3 linked regions of the Oryzias latipes genome follow. The protein of the gene in region 1 purifies or fractionates together with the protein of each later gene. This does not show direct contact. Links are inferred from orthologs where the notes say so. Each region holds a gene or a part of one and is shown in the gene's direction. Other genes may lie near its edges.

The links. The genes of interacting proteins can lie anywhere in the genome.
Region 2: the proteins of cdk8 (region 1) and med23 purify together in Homo sapiens (affinity purification with mass spectrometry; 10 studies listed by BioGRID and IntAct, counting the BioPlex papers as one, with this or other methods). This does not show direct contact. The link is inferred for Oryzias latipes from reciprocal best matches to the Homo sapiens genes CDK8 and MED23.
Region 3: the proteins of cdk8 (region 1) and med25 purify together in Homo sapiens (affinity purification with mass spectrometry; 8 studies listed by BioGRID and IntAct, counting the BioPlex papers as one, with this or other methods). This does not show direct contact. The link is inferred for Oryzias latipes from reciprocal best matches to the Homo sapiens genes CDK8 and MED25.

Annotation. Positions count from the first base shown.
Region 1 is NC_019878.2:17,541,286-17,547,212, reverse strand, and holds the start of cdk8 (cyclin-dependent kinase 8), read left to right. Parts: upstream 1-2,171; 5' UTR 2,172-2,565; coding exon 2,566-2,693; intron 2,694-3,793; coding exon 3,794-3,869; intron 3,870-5,078; coding exon 5,079-5,189; intron 5,190-5,710; coding exon 5,711-5,851; intron 5,852-5,927. Other genes in the region: E3 ubiquitin-protein ligase RNF6, read right to left, coding at 17-158.
Region 2 is NC_019882.2:15,917,993-15,924,000, reverse strand, and holds the start of med23 (mediator of RNA polymerase II transcription subunit 23), read left to right. Parts: upstream 1-2,176; 5' UTR 2,177-2,300; coding exon 2,301-2,360; intron 2,361-2,754; coding exon 2,755-2,786; intron 2,787-3,017; coding exon 3,018-3,105; intron 3,106-3,195; coding exon 3,196-3,320; intron 3,321-3,606; coding exon 3,607-3,718; intron 3,719-3,822; coding exon 3,823-3,921; intron 3,922-4,027; coding exon 4,028-4,129; intron 4,130-4,231; coding exon 4,232-4,301; intron 4,302-5,612; coding exon 5,613-5,725; intron 5,726-5,803; coding exon 5,804-5,899; intron 5,900-6,008. Other genes in the region: interleukin-20 receptor subunit alpha, read right to left, coding at 1-92, 1,383-1,431. UniProt on the Homo sapiens protein: Required for transcriptional activation subsequent to the assembly of the pre-initiation complex. Component of the Mediator complex, a coactivator involved in the regulated transcription of nearly all RNA polymerase II-dependent genes.
Region 3 is NC_019866.2:3,604,514-3,610,515, reverse strand, and holds the start of med25 (mediator of RNA polymerase II transcription subunit 25), read left to right. Parts: upstream 1-2,170; 5' UTR 2,171-2,316; intron 2,317-2,869; 5' UTR 2,870-2,878; coding exon 2,879-3,003; intron 3,004-3,086; coding exon 3,087-3,132; intron 3,133-3,226; coding exon 3,227-3,351; intron 3,352-3,444; coding exon 3,445-3,543; intron 3,544-4,575; coding exon 4,576-4,696; intron 4,697-6,002. UniProt on the Homo sapiens protein: Component of the Mediator complex, a coactivator involved in the regulated transcription of nearly all RNA polymerase II-dependent genes.

The DNA of each region.
Region 1 (5,927 bases):
GTATGCCAATCCTCACCAGGGGTGCCCAGCAGGTTACCATCTCTCATGAGGCGGTACTCGTCTTCACTCAATTCATTTATGAAGTGATAATATGCTTCCTCCCGTCGAAGACGCTCTGCCTGCCTCTGCCGTTCATCTCCCCCACTGGGAGGGTCCATAACAAAGAAGAGTGCTGGAAGGCCCATGTGGAAGGGTGTCAGAGAAATGGACACGGTGAAGCAACATTTCACTTCAGTTCACAAAAATGTGGAACATTTATTCTAATGAAGTTAGACATGCTTCCAATCAGACAACATTAGTTCGTGACCATCAGTCTATATTCTTCTGTTTTATTCTTGTCTAAACAAATTTTAATTATACTTTATAATTTTACTGTTTTGTGGCCATACTATCCTAACTGTGATTCTTGTCAATGCTTTTCTAAAAGGTCTTTTTTGTGCATAAAATAAACTTGCCTCTCTAATACTTGTTATAATTTCTACTTAATTTACAAGAGTATTCAAGGTTCAACACTAATAGCAAAATCATTTGTGTATAGGACTAAGCAATATGGACAGCACAGTAGTATTAACATTTGTGGAAAAAAGGTATAGTCATATATGTTCTGCTGTAAAGGCCCAGCTATAATTTGCATAAATCACTGATCAAATGCCTGTGAGCGAGTATACATAAATAATAACCATGAATAGTATCCCCAAAAGGCCATGTCCAAATCATGTTGTTCAGCTGACTCTTAACCAATCACCGCCCCTGTTTGGTTTTAGTGGCAGGTCAAGTAACCAATCACCGTGCGACAGAGGCGGAAAATGAAACCTATTAAACGGAGATCTACTCCATGTAAACGCAGGACAAGGAAGGAAACACAAAGTCGTGAACAGCACTAAACAATAAAACGATTAAGATATTATACTGGGAATACACGTACGACAACACTTTAACGAGGCTGTTTGTTCTATATTTACTTCAAGACGCTACAATGTTGATTTAAACAAGCAACGCGTCAACTGCTAACTAGCATGCTAGTGATATAACGTCAGCTAGTAGTAGCAGCACTGAAGTCGACAGCCGTTTAGCTGAGAGGCAAAACCTCATAACGCACCACATATGCTGTTACAACAAGTTCGCCGGATATTGCACATATGATCTATCTTTATAGATAAATGGAAACCACATTAGGAAGTAGTGTCAGTAACATTTGCTTTAGAGAAGTACCTGACAAAGCAGCTGTAATGGAAGGTTCTCTCCGCTTTCCCCTTTCTCTCCGACCAAGATGGGACCAGCGGTGCTACATGACTCTGCTCGCCGGAAACAAAATTCCTTAACCCTTAGTTCCTACAAACACAGCTTTTTGTTTATTTCTTTGTTTGTTTGTAATCTTTTTTTAAGTTCCTTGTGATATTATTGACTGGTAAATTTGCTTCTAACATTGATTAAAAGATTAAACATGTTTTTTTTTCTTTTAGTCTACTGTATGCACCAACTGACATCCTTCGTCAGCAGCAAACTAAATGCTGTCTTTTTATTTTTATTTTTAGAATTAATATGCAAAATACAACAAAAATTGAGATTAAATAGAACAATTATGTTGAAAAAAACGGGGATGGCGTATGCATTACAAAACATACATTATAATATAGTAAAAATATTATATATATATATTATATAATTATATATTATATATAAAAATATATTAAAAGACAGACAACTTTCAAATATATTTTTTTTTGTTGTTGCTACTGTTAGAAATTGTACTCCAGTCAATCAAAAAATGTGTATGCATACAGGGAGACATTAGATTAACGAGGATAATTCTAGGTATTGTATTCTTTTTTTTGCTTGTTTGTTTAAATAGAAAATTGTGACTTCTCATGGCATTTCGGTGTGTATGTAAATAGCCTTATTTATGTACCATTTCACGTTTTTTCTCTTATAGAGGTTTTATGTATTTAAATACTTGTTTTCTTTTATGTTTGTTTTTAGGATTTATCAATAATTACTTTTAAAGATTACTATTTGTTGAACTGTAAAAACTAAACACTGGCAAGTGACTGCATAATAAAAGAAAGAATATCTGAAAAACCTTCCTCGGCTTTATTTGTTTGTTGTTCACCCACGTACTGATTTATTTATTTATTTATTTAAGTGCGAATATCCACGTGGTTGTGTATCTCTGCCATTCTCCTTTCTCTGCTGCAGGGGCTGTCTTTACGACACTTTGCGACAATGGCTGGCACGATTACGCCGTGGCTACAGACTGAATTGCGTCTCTTTGGAGAAGATACCGGCTGAGAGAAACGCAGAAACAACAGAAAGGAAATTGTAAAATCGGGCCTTTTTCAGCACGGATAATTGCCAATCTCCGCGCTTACCCATCGGAAGGTTATTTTCGAGCCCAAACCTCGATGTGGAAGCTGAGCTGAAGAAAGAAAGGGACCCGCTGGGAAGGCAACTAGCTGAAATAACCAAAAACCGAGCTCGTTGAGTCAAGGAGCCTAGTTGCCTCCCTAGCGACGCTTTAAAAAGAAAGGAAGAAACGCAGACATTCAGCCTCTGAAGTGGTGAAAAATGGACTATGACTTTAAACTGAAGCTGACCGGTGAACGAGAGCGCGTCGAGGACCTGTTTGAGTACGAAGGATGCAAAGTGGGAAGAGGCACCTACGGTCATGTGTACAAGGCGAAGAGAAAAGATGGGTGAGTTGATGACCAACAAGGCCTCCAGCCGCTGAACCCTGCGCCAGCCCCCTCCCGCTCCATTTAAACCACTTTAGTTTGCCCCCTTTCGCGGTGGAGGAAGCGTGCTGCAGACAAAAACAGCAATAGCAGAGTGTTAAAAAGCCCACACTAGGATGCTGAGGAAGCTTTGTGTAGCAGCACTACTAGCTTAAATGAGGAGTGACATTTTCTCTCATGGATGGGAGGCTAATTTAGCAGGAATATATTTGCAACCATTGCATGCAGCTTTGTGGTTGGTTCTGTGTGAGCATCATTAAATTGTATTAGTTAAGGTTAGATCTAATTAAATTGATATTGTACTTATTGTGGTTCTCAGGTCTTGTTTATCATAATCCACACACATTTAATTATGAATTTGATTATGATTTTCCAGTGGAAATAAAGGTTTATTGGCAGTATAGATGTGTCTGAGATCAGTTTTTTAAACTAATATTTAGACAGGAAATTAAGCTTCAATAATAATTATTTTTTAGGGGACATATTTTTTCTAGTAGTGACACTGGGATTTGTTATTTATGTTGTTAATGTTAAAGCAACACTTGAGCTTTTAAAGTGCAACTTTCCGATGTGGTCCCTAGCTTTATCTGGCCCTAACCTGGGTTAAAGCAGCAACTTCCTGGCCCACACAAGGCGCATTACCCTAAAGGAGAAAATCTGGACAGCAGAACCATAGAAAGAAGCTTTGAGATGTTTGTGTTACTGTTGTTTATGAGACACCGTGGGCTGCAGAATCTTTCCAACTACAAAGTGTGGATTTATAAGATAATTTAGGCCAAGAGGAGGAACGATATTCAAGAGTGAGCCAGTCCCAGAGCTCTGTTTGTCCCTCCCAGCTGCCAGAAACCGCCTGTTTCCTCTCCCCCTTTATTGTTTAGAGCCTCAGAGGTGAGCTTGATTACACAAATCTGGAGGTAATGCAGCTCAGCCTCTTCACCAGCTCCCCACACCAGCTGCCAAGTGCCCCCCTCCCGTCCTTTATTTTTGTTTTCTGTGCATAGAGCTTTCTGGGGGCCTGCTGTCTGGCCTGGTGTTGATGTGCTGGATTTTTCTGTTTTTAGGAAGGATGATAAAGACTACGCCCTCAAGCAGATAGAAGGCACTGGCATCTCCATGTCAGCCTGCAGAGAGATTGCAGTAAGGGCTTTTTCCCACTGGTTAATACATTTATGCCATTCTTTTCATTTAGAATATTTTTGTTTTAACCACTCATTAAATGAAACCAAAATTGGTTTATTGCATTTATTCATTTGTAAAATAAGTTCATAATCATCCTAAACTTTAAATAAGACAAATTAAGATATTTCATTGAAAGGACATTTGTGTTTATTGGATTAAAATGTTTCAAAATGCACTACAATATGTCCTTAGTGTGACATCTGACCATATTAGCAGCTTTCTGTCCCTTGAATCCTTTTACGTCTAAACTTAAAGGGATAGAACACCAAAATGTTTTTTTTTCTTGTGATTTAAATAAAGATTAGCTGTTTTCAACAAGGACAAAGAAAATGAAGCAGGCTTTGCATAAAATGCTTGTTTAGCTCGCTCCACCCCATCTCAAAAAGCCATTTGTGACTTTTAACATTACATTTAGCAGCTAGTTACCCATCATTCTTCCTGTACATGCTGGATACTGGTGGAATAGTCAGACATGAAAAAGGAAATTATTAATTTAAGTTGAACAAAACCCCTTAAAGATCATTTACTCGCTGCTTACCAGCACTGAAAATCATATTTGTGTTCAAAAATCGAAAGTCTGGGTTGGCATTCTCTCACTTTGGTTGTTGCCAGATTATTTATTTATCGTCTTTGCAGGTCAGAGGCTTGTTCAAGTACCGAAAGAACTGTTCTAGAAGCACCAAGCTCAGGGAATGTTTGGCAACTACATTTTTTTTCTGAGGCCATAGTAATTGCTGAAGATCACCTCAAACATGCAATACTTTCTGCCTGGTAGTTTTATTGTCTAAAATTGCAACCAGAGAGTGCTGGGATTAACAAACGCACAGCTCCTGCCTGCAGTTTATCACAGCCATGCTGACTCTGACTTTACTCCATAAACAGGCTCCCATCTGTCAAATCTATCAGAATATTTCTTGGTCGTCAGGTAAACAAAAGCTGGAAGGTGTTTGGAATATTTTATGTATGTTTGTGGCGCGTTCAAAATGTTTTGAACTTACAGGCTAACTCAAACACTTTATAGGCATTCATTAATTGTAAGGTTTATCTGCTTTTGGTAGATCGTGCAGGTAATACCTGATTTTCGTTTTATTTTCGGAAATGTTTCTGGTCTGTGTGTTTTTGTCGTTCCTGATTTATGCCATGGAGCTGAAGGGTTTTATGTTGCAGCTGCTGCGGGAGCTGAAGCACCCCAATGTCATCTCCCTGCAGAAGGTTTTCCTGTCACACGCGGACCGTAAAGTATGGCTGCTCTTTGACTATGCGGAGCATGATCTCTGGGTAAAATGGAAACACACACTGGAACTGCACTACTCATCAATCACACTACTGCTGTGCGAGGGGAGAGCCAATACGATGTTTTTCTACTTTAACTTTTTTCACAAGTAACAAATCCCCACCTATGCTCAACGATATGTTACATAAATTACACTGCACGTCAGTACTTTGAAGATTTTTCTCTACACGCGGGAATGCGCCCCTTTGATGCTTCACACTTCAGAAAGAAAAAAACAACAACACTCCAGTCTGTTGGTGTCATGAGAAGAATTACTTTGCTTTTTGGTAGTTAAACCCTTTTCCATTTAAGTAAGCAGTTACGACTGGCAGAGAATGTAAGTGAAATACCTTTTACTGCCGCAGAGCTGCAACACTTGCATTCCCCCTCCACAGAAGTGGAAACACATGCTTAAACCATATTGCCTGTAGAACACACATGTCAGTGTGTGGATCTGTAGAAAAGAGTCCATTTTGGTAAATGTGCTCATTCATGGTACAGCTGCTGTTTTCTTGTCTTCCCGTAGCACATTATAAAGTTTCACAGAGCATCCAAGGCCAACAAGAAGCCGCTTCAGCTTCCCAGAGGAATGGTGAAGTCTCTGCTCTACCAGATTCTGGATGGCATCCATTACCTCCATGCCAACTGGGTCCTACACAGAGACCTTGTAAGAGGATTGGGGTTTAGGAGGGTGAAGGTTTTTTAGCTAAAATAGAAAGAAAAAAACCAAAGTAAAGAAAAAA
Region 2 (6,008 bases), on another chromosome or scaffold:
TGGCGTGTCATGTCCTGGTAACCAGTGCAGCACATTTCTTAGATTCACAGAGGAGAAGCTGACATTGATGGGGCTTGGAGGGAAGGATCCAACTGGGGAAGAGAACAAGAATGAACATGGCTTCATGAGTTTGAGTTGGCATTTGAAGTCCTTTTCCAGTCTTTTATATATTGTAAAAGCGTGCAAAGAAGTGAGTGGAGCTATTTGTTCACAAGTGGATGCATCTGAATGCAGCAGAACAAGACGCTTGTGCCTTGAAGATTGAAGTTTATTTCTAACAATTTATATTTTCTTTCTTCTCTATTGTCCACCATCACGAGAAAAAATGACACAAGAACATGTTGAAAACACAAAAAAAGACCATTTTCACGGAGTGTGTCTTTTCAAACTGAGATTTTTACATTTCCTCTTATACTAACCAAAAGGCTTTTTATTATTTCGGCATAGCTTCAGTAATTCACTGGTGTTTATTTTCATGTTTTGTTGCACAAAACACGGCAGTTATACATTTGGCGGGTTTAAAGCAAATAAACAAAAGTTTGTCAGCTATGAGAAGTCATTCTTGACATAAAAGGAAGTAAACAGTTGATGAATGCACATGCAGAGGTGGATTATGCCTTAAATGATCTGGAAAAAAATCAAATAAAGAGAACTATGCTGCAGCTCGTTTAAATAAAGACAGAAATTTAAAGGGTATAACTAAGAGTTTATGCCATTAACACCTACAGAAGACATCTTTGTTGTTTCAACAAAGTTTCAGAAGAAACCTTTATAGATCAATCCCTGTTATATGATACTTACATAAAGCCTCAGAGAACAAAAGGGCATGTAATTGAGTTTTAGGACCTTAGCAGTATCTATTTCACAGAAGTCATAAATGCCACAGAACTGTGTAAAAACAGCTCATACACTGCATTTTTAGCTTTACATTTAGTTAATAATGATAGACGTTTTTGATTTGTTATTGATCAATTAACAGCAAACTCATCTAGAAAGGTAAACATTATGGAAAAAAACCATCTATGTTTTTTATAAAGTTGATTATTTTTGTTATCTTGAACTGTTAAATAAGGTTTAAAATTATTACATTTACAACCAGATCACACACGTTTATAAACTTGTTGTCTTTAAAAAAAAATCAAAGATTTAAATAATTCTTTAATAGCTGTTAAAAGTAACCTATATGTTTAAAAAAAAGTCTGTTAATTGATCATTTTGCTTTTTTATTTTTTATTGAGAAAAAGGAGATAGTCAATATGAAATGACAGAAAGCCTTGGGAAAATTAGATCGGATTTCTCCTTTTGGACACATTTGACCAATTTTCTCATCCAGCGCGCGAGGATTTCTTTTAACACACAATAACATGTCAACAAATTCTTACCTGTGCAGGTAAGACCCAAGAGGTTCATTAGCACGAAGGCTGTCCACATCCTTGCGCGCGGGGGTTAGTTTATTTTTAAGGAGAATCAAGCTGCGCAGTCCCTCCACCTGCCGTGGACCAGTGACTTTTCACGCGCATTGAAGAAATCGGGTTGCCTCTCAACTAAAAAGAAAGTAAAATAAAAAATCTGTTAAACTAAAAGTGGAAAAAAGGAAGTAGAGGTAAGAATGCGCTCAATGAATGGGAGCGCTCTGCAAAAAAAATCCCCTTTCAACGACGCGTTAATTCCGTGTTTGAGAAAGGAATGTGGCTGTACCTGTCCGCGCGCACGACACCTGAGCAGGTGCAATTAATGTGGGATGGTCACGACCTCGTCATTTTTTTATTTTAGTTTACCACAGCCAATGATTTTGAAACACCCATTGACTTTTCATCTAAATTATGTCACATTACTGGGATAATTTGCAAACTAACTGTTGTCACTGATTTCGAATAAACAAGAAAGTTTATTAAGTGGTTGAGAGTTAAAACAGTAGAGTAATGTTTTGATCAGTGCCCTTAATAGTTTGTGGGCTACAAGCAGTGCGTGTATTTGAAAATAAAGAATCCCCGTTTCTTGAAACAGATAGTTTATCTGATCTTCAGCATAAGTTTTTTTTTTCTTTTTTAACAAGAGACCAAAGTTCTCGGTGTTGCCCGCCGCGACTGTTTATGGCGCTGAATTAACATGACTTTTAGTAGGTGGACATAAAGTTAGAGCGTAGCGGAACTATTTAGTGTGTGTTTCAAGTGTTCACCCGGATCACTTTTCAGTTGCACACGAAGTGGCGCTTCGTTCTCCAAAGACATTAGCATGCCGTTTGTTTGGAGCTCTGTTTGCAACAAAGCGTAGTGACTTTTGGTCAGATTTCACTCTGAATGATCGATATGGCGCTTTCGATGGAGTCTCAGTTGCAGAGCATCTTTGAAGATGTCGTGGTAAATTGCACCTTATAACAAAAATGGATCCACGACAGAGGATCTGTTAGCATTGATGATGCTTGTTTTTATTGTTGTTAGTATTTTTGCGAACTATCTTTTTTTTGTAGATAACCTGCATTAAAATACACAAATTAAATTACACGTGAATAACACTTGTTAACAAACAAATGTATCAGGTTTGGATTATAATCTGTTGTCAGTGGTGATGCTTTTGTTAACAAGGCACTTATCCTCAAAATGAATGAGTCTTTGTTTAGGTATTTTTGAAGCAAAGGCTATTTTCTTCCTTTGACTGCTGTCAATAGGAAAATTTTATTTTTGGTTGTTTGTATTTTGAATTTTGATCTCTTTTAACATCATAAATCATATTTTCTTCTTCTCAATCTTTCAGAAAACTGAGACAATAGAAGAAGCTTTTGCTGGGTAAGCTTGTTACTAACTTTTATTCATAATGAGTAATAAACATGTTGAAAAAAGGTCAAAATGCTTTGACTTTTAGTTCTGATTTTAAAAAAAAAGAATAGAAATCTGTAGTTTGTTTAATTTATTTTCTGCTCCTAAAACATATTTCACCCCTAAACATTGTGTTGGATTGACAACAAATGGTTCTTATTCCTAAACTAAAAAAGTGAAGCTGGCATTTTCGGGTTTCAGGATGTTCATGGACACTCCAGAGGATGAAAGAACTAAACTCATCAGTTGTCTGGGAGCCTTCAGACAGTACTGGGGAACTCTGCCACAGGTTTTTAAACTTATTTTTTTTAATATCTTAAACATTTATACACAAAGATACATCATATTCTGTATATTTATTCTTTTTTTTCCTCTTCAGGATTCTCACGAGCAGTGTGTTCAGTGGATTGTGCGCTTCATACACACTCAGCGCAGTCCCAAAAGGATCTCCTTCTTGTATGATTGTCTTGCAATGGCTGTGGAGACTAGTCTGTTGCCTCCCAGGTGCATACACTCATTTATCATAGTCTGCCCACATTCTTTACATTCATTTATGCAATTTATGAAAAGATAAAAGCTCCATATAAAGTTTTTTGAAGCTGAGTGTTTCCTCTTCCTTATATTTTCACTATTAAACACATTATTTTTTATTCATTTCTGCAGATTCTAATTCAAAGTGCATTTCTGCTTTGACCACTTTTTGAAAATGACAGTATTAGCTTGTTTGCTTATTCATTGTGAGGCTTGAAATTGTGTGACTCATTCCTTTGATGAATTCATTTGCTTTCAGGATGGTGTGTGTAGCTCTCATTAGCTCAGACAGCTTGGAGTGGGAAAGAACACAGTTATGGGCTTTAACCTTCAAGCTCATCCGCAAAATAATCGGAGGGGTGGACTACAAGGTGTTTGACGCACTAAAAATAAATCTCCTTTAAGCTTGAAAGACATTAATGGACTTTAAAAGAATTTAGTTTTGTTTTTAAAATCTGCTCTATATTTTCCTTAGGGTGTACGCGATCTGTTGAAAGGTGTTCTGGATAAAATTCAGACCGTCCCCATTACTGTCAGCTCAGCTATACTCCAGCAGCTGCTGGCCGCCAGGGAGGTACAGATCATTCCCGTTTTCTTGAATTCTGTAATTCAGATCCAGTTTTTTATTTGTCTTGACACAAACCGTAATTCTCAGATAGTCGTTTCTGCCCATTTTTCAGGTGGTGGAGTACATTTTGGACAGAAACGCCTGCCTCCTCCCAGCATACTTTGCTGTAACAGAAATAAGAAAACTGTACCCAGAAGGCCAGCTCTCACATTGGGTATGTGAATAATTACACGAGTGTGTAAATGTACATCCCTAACATCTTCAATTCTTTGAAACATGTCTTTGATTTTTGGGGTTTTCTGTGTTTGATTTTTAGATTTTGGGCAGTTTAATATCAGACTTTGTGGATAGTTTCAGACCTACAGCAAGAATCAACTCAATCTGTGGTAAAACTCACACACACCCAAACACACACACTTAAGGATTTTACAATTTTTTGTCTTTCTAAAGCATTTAACTATGCTAGATTTCTTTCAACTACGGCTGGATTAAAACAGCAAGGATCAGTTTAACAAATCAATAAATTAATTTTACTTTAACCCCTTCTTGCATGAACTTTATTTTGAAATTGAAAACATTTTTTACTTTCAATGTGATGCTAGATTTCTCTTGTACGGTATTAAATGATATTTTTTTCAGGCATAAAAAAAACTGCTTTTTGTTAATAAAAACATGACCAATCTTAGTTCTAATAATAAAACTTCCACTTTTGCTCAATTTGAAAGATAATTTTTCTAAGAACAAATTTTTCATAATCAAACTTAAGTGGTTTTAAAAGCAAAGTTTGTCATGCAAATCATTTTGTGAACTTGTAATTTGAAATCAAATCAGTAGTTTGGTTGCGATACCAAGCCCTTCTTTTAACAAGAAATTCTTACGTTTAATTTTTAATTCTAATTTAATAATTACCGGTAACCAAAAACCCACATAATGTCTGTAAATTTTGTGTGTAATGCAATAATTTAAAAAAAGGAAGTCCTCCGACTCCGCCTCTTCTTTGTGCTTGTTTAACAGCTTGCTGGTGTTTAGATAAACTGGAGGAAGTTTAAAAAGTCAAGTTTTAGAATAAACATATAAGCCAGCTATAGGTATTTACTGACCCTACAGTAAAGTTCACCATTGCTTGATTTGTGAGCGTGAAGCTGATTATCGCTCTCCATGCTGTGTGCGTGGCAGATCCAAATAAATGGGGATCCATGGGGATTCATTTTTTTTTCTTGTCCCTGAACGTGTGTTTTAATGCTTATCCAAGTAAGAAATAGATCGAAATAGATCTGGGATTTATACAAAACAGTTAAAATCATGGAAGAAACATCATATAGTACAGATTTTAATGATATATGTTCGTAATCTGCTGTCCCTAGGAAGGTTAAATGACAAACATCAGATTCACACTAAAATATATATATTTTTTAATCAGTTTCCTGCAGGGTTTTCCAAGAAAAGAAAACTTTTATTTAATAAAAAAATAAAAATAACACTATATTGGCATTTTAAAATGTTTTTTAGTGTAAATTTCTTTTATAAATTGTTGTTTTCTTAATTATTCAACTTTTTCCACATATCCTTGTAAATATTGGAAGTTTAATGTTAATGGAATTTGAAATCAGTCCCAGAATCGTAAAACTAAATGTTTGAAAGCGTAATTGAAGCTAAGTGACTTGTATTTGGTGTCGTCGTCCCCCCCCCCCCTTAAGGACGATGCAGTTTGCTGCCAGTTGTGAATAACAGCGGGGCCATCTGTAACTCCTGGAAGTTAGACCCCGCCACCCTGCGTTTCCCCCTCAGGGGCATGCTGCCCTATGACAAGGTAACCCACCCCGCATCTGCACAGCTTCACGCCCACACAGGAACAAACGGTAATGGCTGCTTTGGTCGTTGGGTGCAGGACCTGTTCGAGCCGCAGACTGTCTTGCTCCGCTATGTGCTTGAACAGCCGTACTCCAGGGAAATGGTGTGCAACATGTTAGGACTCAACAAACAGGTAAAAAACAGAATGAAAACCTTCCTTATATGCTTCCTCTGGCACTTTTCTATGTTTTATACCACCTTTTTTCTTCTTGACCTCACAGCCCCTTTTGGTTTATTTTTGG
Region 3 (6,002 bases), on another chromosome or scaffold:
AGACTTGGGCAGGGATTTTAGGAATTTCATATAAATAACGGGGAAAAAATGTCGTATAAATTAGAAAAACAGCTGCTGCTGATGGCAGTGGGGCTTACGGTTCCCAAAAGGTGTGCTTTGTTGTGCTTACCCATTTGTGCGGATCAAAGTGCATCAGCAAGCAGCCTGTGATTACCTGTTGTGAGAAGACCATCTGGCCCAGAGTCCCAGTAGGTCAGGTAAAATGGTCAGGAGACAGATTGTCTTATCAAAGCCGCCTGCAGACGTGGAGTTTTAAAGAACCACATTTCTGCATTCAGATTATTGATTTCTGACCAACAACGGGGAAAAAAGGAAGCAGTGTGTGTCTTTCTAAAGGCACACCCAGAGAGCCGGCGCTCTGTAATTGCTTGGCAACTGCTTGCCATGTGTGTGCTAAAGTTTAAGACAACAATAAGCACAAAATGTCTCCAAGAAAAGCATCAGAGCTGCAAAGTAAAGAGCTTCCTGTGCATGCAATCCTTCCTGCCACTTTAATTTGGCCATGTTTCACTGTCAGGATAAAAGATCCGTGGGGAGCTAAATGTTTGCAGGTCGTGGATAGCCACGGGCTTAAACCCTCTCCAGATCAACTTTACTTAAGCCGCCATAAGCAGCCCTGCTTTTTGACACCCAAAAGGCGAAGCTGCTTGGGCGCACAGCTTGTTTTCCTTCTCAGAATTTGGGCTGAATTGATATGGATCATTGTGTCTGTGGGAGGGTTTTGAGTTTGATGAGCTCTGAAGCCTCTAAGCTGAACGTTCAGCTTACTGGCTTTTGTCACAAGGGAGCGGAAGCCATTAAACCGACCACACAAACTACATCAATGTGTTAAAGACACAAGTTCTACCACAAACAGGTCATTAAATTTTACCTTTCTCGGTACAAAAACACATGGGCAGGAATAAGTTTTATCCTTAAATGTCTGGCATTTTTCTACAGGCCTGTTTCTTGTCTGCCTGAGCTCACTTTTTAACAACATTAATCAAGCTTGGTGTAAATAAACTCCTTTTTTTGTTAAGTAACCAAAATCAAATTACACTTTTGAAAAAAGAAAAAATCTGTATAACAAAAGCTCAAAAGCGTGTGGAGCAGAACACCAAGTTTGGCCTGTAAATTTACATATTTAAACAAGATGCAAAAACAAAAACAAACAAAAAATCTGAATTTTCTTTTGCAGACATCATTAGAGCTAGTATCAAATGCACGCTTGCATCTTCTCCACTGTAATTCTGATGTCTTCTCTCTTTGCACTGTGGAGATCTGCTGACATCTCCTGGAGATGTGGATCATCAACATCTGGATTTTTTCTGCATCCGGCTCTGTTTCACATCTGAAATAAAATCCTCAACAAATGTGAAAAACAACTGTTTGTTTTTCATAATTCTGAAGACAGATTGTACCTATTATTTCACAATGCAGTTAATTAATTGGAAAACATCAAAATTAATTAATTTTGGAACTTCCTGTTGGTCCTCTGCTCATTCTGCCTCCAATGTTTTTATTGTTTTAGGCTCATCCAGAAGCACATATTTCTTCTGACTATTCCAAAAGGTAACCACTTTATTGAAATGCATTTGGTTATAAGGTTTGAACTGAATTCAGAGCTGAAAACTCTAAGCATTAATTGGTCCAATTGAAGCTTAAATGTATGTAGCTGGCTAATCTGAATCTAAAGGTTTTATTCGCATTATAGTGAACTTCATAGTTACCTGCTGTTGAAAAGACATTAAAATGGTTATGACTTCAAAAATCTCATTTATCACTGATATATGGTGAAAATGAACATAGAGGACTTTACTGGTTTGACTTACACATTACCTAAAATAAAAATCTGGAATAATAACTTTAAAATCTATTAACAAATAGCTTCTCTTATTATTACGCCAAAAAAGAACTTTATTGTTTTTACCAGTTATTTCAGCAACACCTCGTTGTTACCAAATGATTGAAAATAAAGCGCAATTTGGTCTCTTTTACATGGGATTTTCATTTTATTATTATTACTATTATTATTATTAATTTATTTATATTTTATTTATTTATTACCACAGTGCTGTTTCACTAGGAATGACTCAACGCTAGGGGGCAGCAGTGCGCTCAGAGACATCCTATCTGCACATTATATTCAACGAAGAGGAAGCGTCTCCATTGAATTTTCATTGCGTCACTTCCTTGTAAAATAAAACAAACGTATATGCGGTTTTGTGCTATGGTTTAATTTTTTTTTGTAAACAACTGCCTATATTTCGGTTTAGTAAATCTCATATTTAAGGAATAATAGGTGTTCACTATCAGGTTAGTTGTGTCTCATTTCTTCTTGAATTACAGTAAAGGCTTTTCCAGTCGTATTATTTATTTAGTCTTTTTTCCATGCTTGCTAAGCCGGCTAATGTTTACAGCCGGTGGTTTCCTTTTCATAAACTGCCTCAGTTACATAAACGCGTAATTAATAATAATCATAGTTGAATTGTTAGATTATTCGTTGTCATGTTTTAAGCTAGAGAGACATTTTAAACAAACGGTACACACACACGGCTTTGTTTGTTTGTTCCTGCTCTCCGTTTTTAAATTGTTTACAATATGCCAAATCATGACGTTTTATTTCAAGTTAACACATAATGAAGATGTGATGAAGAGAAACATTTTAGATGCTCACTCTGTCTGATGGTTAGAGAATCCATTAATTGTGACATTTCAAAGCTTGAATTTCATTGAAATAATCATCACACATGTTTATATATTAATATTTCACCAAGTACCGCCTGTAGAGGAAAATAAAGTATTTTGTGTGTTTTGCTCCATGATACCACCCTTATTTCCCCTTTTCCCGTGTCTCCCACACGTCCAGGTTGTGGACATGGAGCCGCCCAGTAAACCTGGCTCCAACCAGGTGGCCGATGTGGTTTTTGTCATCGAAGGGACGGCAAACCTGGGACCGTACTTTGAATCACTGAGAAAAAACTACATCCTTCCAGCTATTGAGTAAGAAGCAGAAGATGTGCAGACTTTACAGAGTGAGCTGCTCATACATTAAAACAGTAAATATCTTATTTCTTTTTTTCTAGATATTTTAATGGAGGGCCCCCAGCAGAAACAGATTTTGGTGGAGACGTGAGTGTAATTTCTGTTTTTGTTAGTATTTCAGTTTTTTAAACTATTTTAGTCCCGTTTTGTAATAATAAGTGACATCTGTTTTTCTTCCTAGTATGGTGGAACACAGTATGGTCTGGTGGTGTTCAACACAGTGGACTGTGCTCCTGAATCCTACGTTCAGTGTCACGCACCAACCAGCTCTGCCTACGAGTTTGTTTCATGGATCGACAGCATCCAGTAACTTGGCTACATTTATTAAAAAAGCAGATAGGGATCTTGTCTAAAACTCCCATGAATTTCTTGAAAGATGTGATGGGTGTTTTCCTGCAGGTTCATGGGTGGTGGAGCAGAAAGCTGCAGCCTGATTGCAGAAGGCCTTTCTGTGGCCTTGCAGCTCTTTGACGACTTTAAAAAAATGAGGGAGCAAATGTAAGGTATCATTTCGTCTAAGATGTTTAAAACATTGTTCTGTGTTTATTAAAATAAAAGTTAAAGTACATTTTAGCTCCCTAACTTTTGTTTAAACCAGGGTCTGCAACCTTTAACACTAAAAAAGCCATTCAGGCCAGTTTCCCATTGACAAAAACAGCAGCAGCTCCGAAGTCTTGTTTCACCCTCTAGAAAAATTCAAAACTCCTTTGTATTTGTTGCTTTCTTTTTTTGATATATATATATTAATTAAGCTATTTTGACTTAAATAAAAACAATAGGGAAAAAATAAATGATAGCATTTTATTCAATTCACATGAATTTGTTTTTTCCTCCTGAGAAAAGTGGACACTTTTAAAAAAATAAAGACACATCTGCTGCCGTAAATATACTTCAAAGAAAATGTTATACAATGTAAATCAACAAAGGCTTTTTCTTTTGTTTTATATAAGTCTACTTTGGTGTGTCATCGCCCTTTTCCAAGCTTAGTAATATAACCTGAAGATAAATATCATGGTCTGAGAGCCATGTATAAAAGTATATACATGTCTTTCTCTTTCCCCCTCTGGGCAGTTATTAAACATTATTTTGCAGCGTAACATAATTTGTTTTAAGTATATCCCAATAATAAACATACTTAAAGGATTACAATGTTTTTAAGAACACATGTAATTTGCTGAGTGTTTGAAATGTGTGCATTCTGGGAGAAACATAAGGCCGTTTTCATTTTTTATTGTTATAGGAGCATTTTAGCCAAAAATCTAAGAAACTACATTTAAATCAATGCTACGATATTTATCACAACCAAAGAGCCAGAATGGAGCAGTTTGGCTCTGGAGCCTCGTGTTGCAGATCCCTGCTTAAGACATCACTGACTACTTTTTAAGTTTTGTCTAAACAAGTTTTTTTCACGGTAAATGGGGAGAACGTAGACTTCCAATGTCTGATGTTGACTTTTACAGTATTCTAAACATACTGTGAAGGATTTTTAACAGTCATTGTTCTTGTTTCTGTCTGCGTGTGTCACTGCAGAGGTCAAACACATAAGGTCTGCGTGCTTCTGTGTAATTCTCCTCCGTATCTGCTTCCTGCTGTGGAGAGCGTCAGCTACACCGGATGCACAGCGGAAAGCCTGGCCAAAATCATCAGAGATGTGAGTTTTTCTACTGTGGTTTTTAATTTTGTTCAGTTCTATGAGTTGTGGCATTTCTCCTTTTTTATTATGGGAATATTTCAGATTTAAGGGGGAATTTTCAATGAATTAATCCGTCCATCAAATTGACCGTCCAACTAACTAGTCTAAGCGATGATGTCCTAAGATTTCCCTCCCCAGAATTGTTTTCAAATCTTCAGTTTTTCCAATTATTGTCACAATATATTATATTTGAAATAGATTTTTTTGAATAGGAATTAATATCTTCTCATTCAAACCAATTGTTTAGTCTGTCTGAACAGCATTCTTTTAAGAATATTTTACAACTACAAACCAAAAAGAAGAAAATCTCAATGCAATTTCAATTGCTGTCATTCTATTACAATATTTTTACACTGACTTTCACATCCATGAGGCTGTGAAAGCAAAACTTTCTAATATTGTTGAGGCGACTTTCCTACTGAAGCTTTCTGAGGAGCCGATGGGTTGACAGGGTCTGTCTTATAAATGCGACGCAGTTCATTCCGTTGTTTTGTGTGTGTTTTTTTTTTGTTTTTGTTTTTAACTAAAAAGAATCAAAGTAAAATAAATTTATTTTGTACGAGTTCATGAAGCTGATTAACCAATGGGAAGAAAAGTGGACAGCAAAGAAAACGGTTGTGAAAGTAGCAAATAACTAAAGAAACAACCCAAGCTGCCCTCTCAGTTTGCGGATTTGCTGAAACAATTTAGTCAATATTCAAGATAATCAAGTGTCAATTAAATATGAGTACAAACAAACAAGTAAACAAGAATTATTGGCAAATCCATTCACATTTGAGTTTCCTAAAGTTCAGCCGACTGTTGTTTTTCCACATCCAAAGAATCCAAAGGGAACAAGATTAGAACATTCTAGACACTGTTTGGTCACATGACTTTAGTAATTTCAAAGTGTTTCCACACATTGGACTGGAATGATCGTCGTCACATGTGTGTTGTCTGCAGTGATGCACATCAACCTACTGCGCCTCAACCCAAATGGCGTTTTCCATTATCGATAAAATCGGTTTATTTCATTTTGAAACTGTCTTAAAATGCTGTCGGTTGATTCCGTTAGCAACTTTCCTCAGACGGAGCGATTTCTTTGGACTAGAAAAAAAATGTATTCATCATTTAAGTAGATGAACCCCTTCTAATTAACAAATTAAAAAAGATGAAATATGTAAACAGGGAAATGTGCAAAGAAACTGCGGGACATTTAGGCTTCTAGAAATATAATTCTGAAGCTAAGGATAAAAAATAAATGTTACAATTTGCCAAATAGACT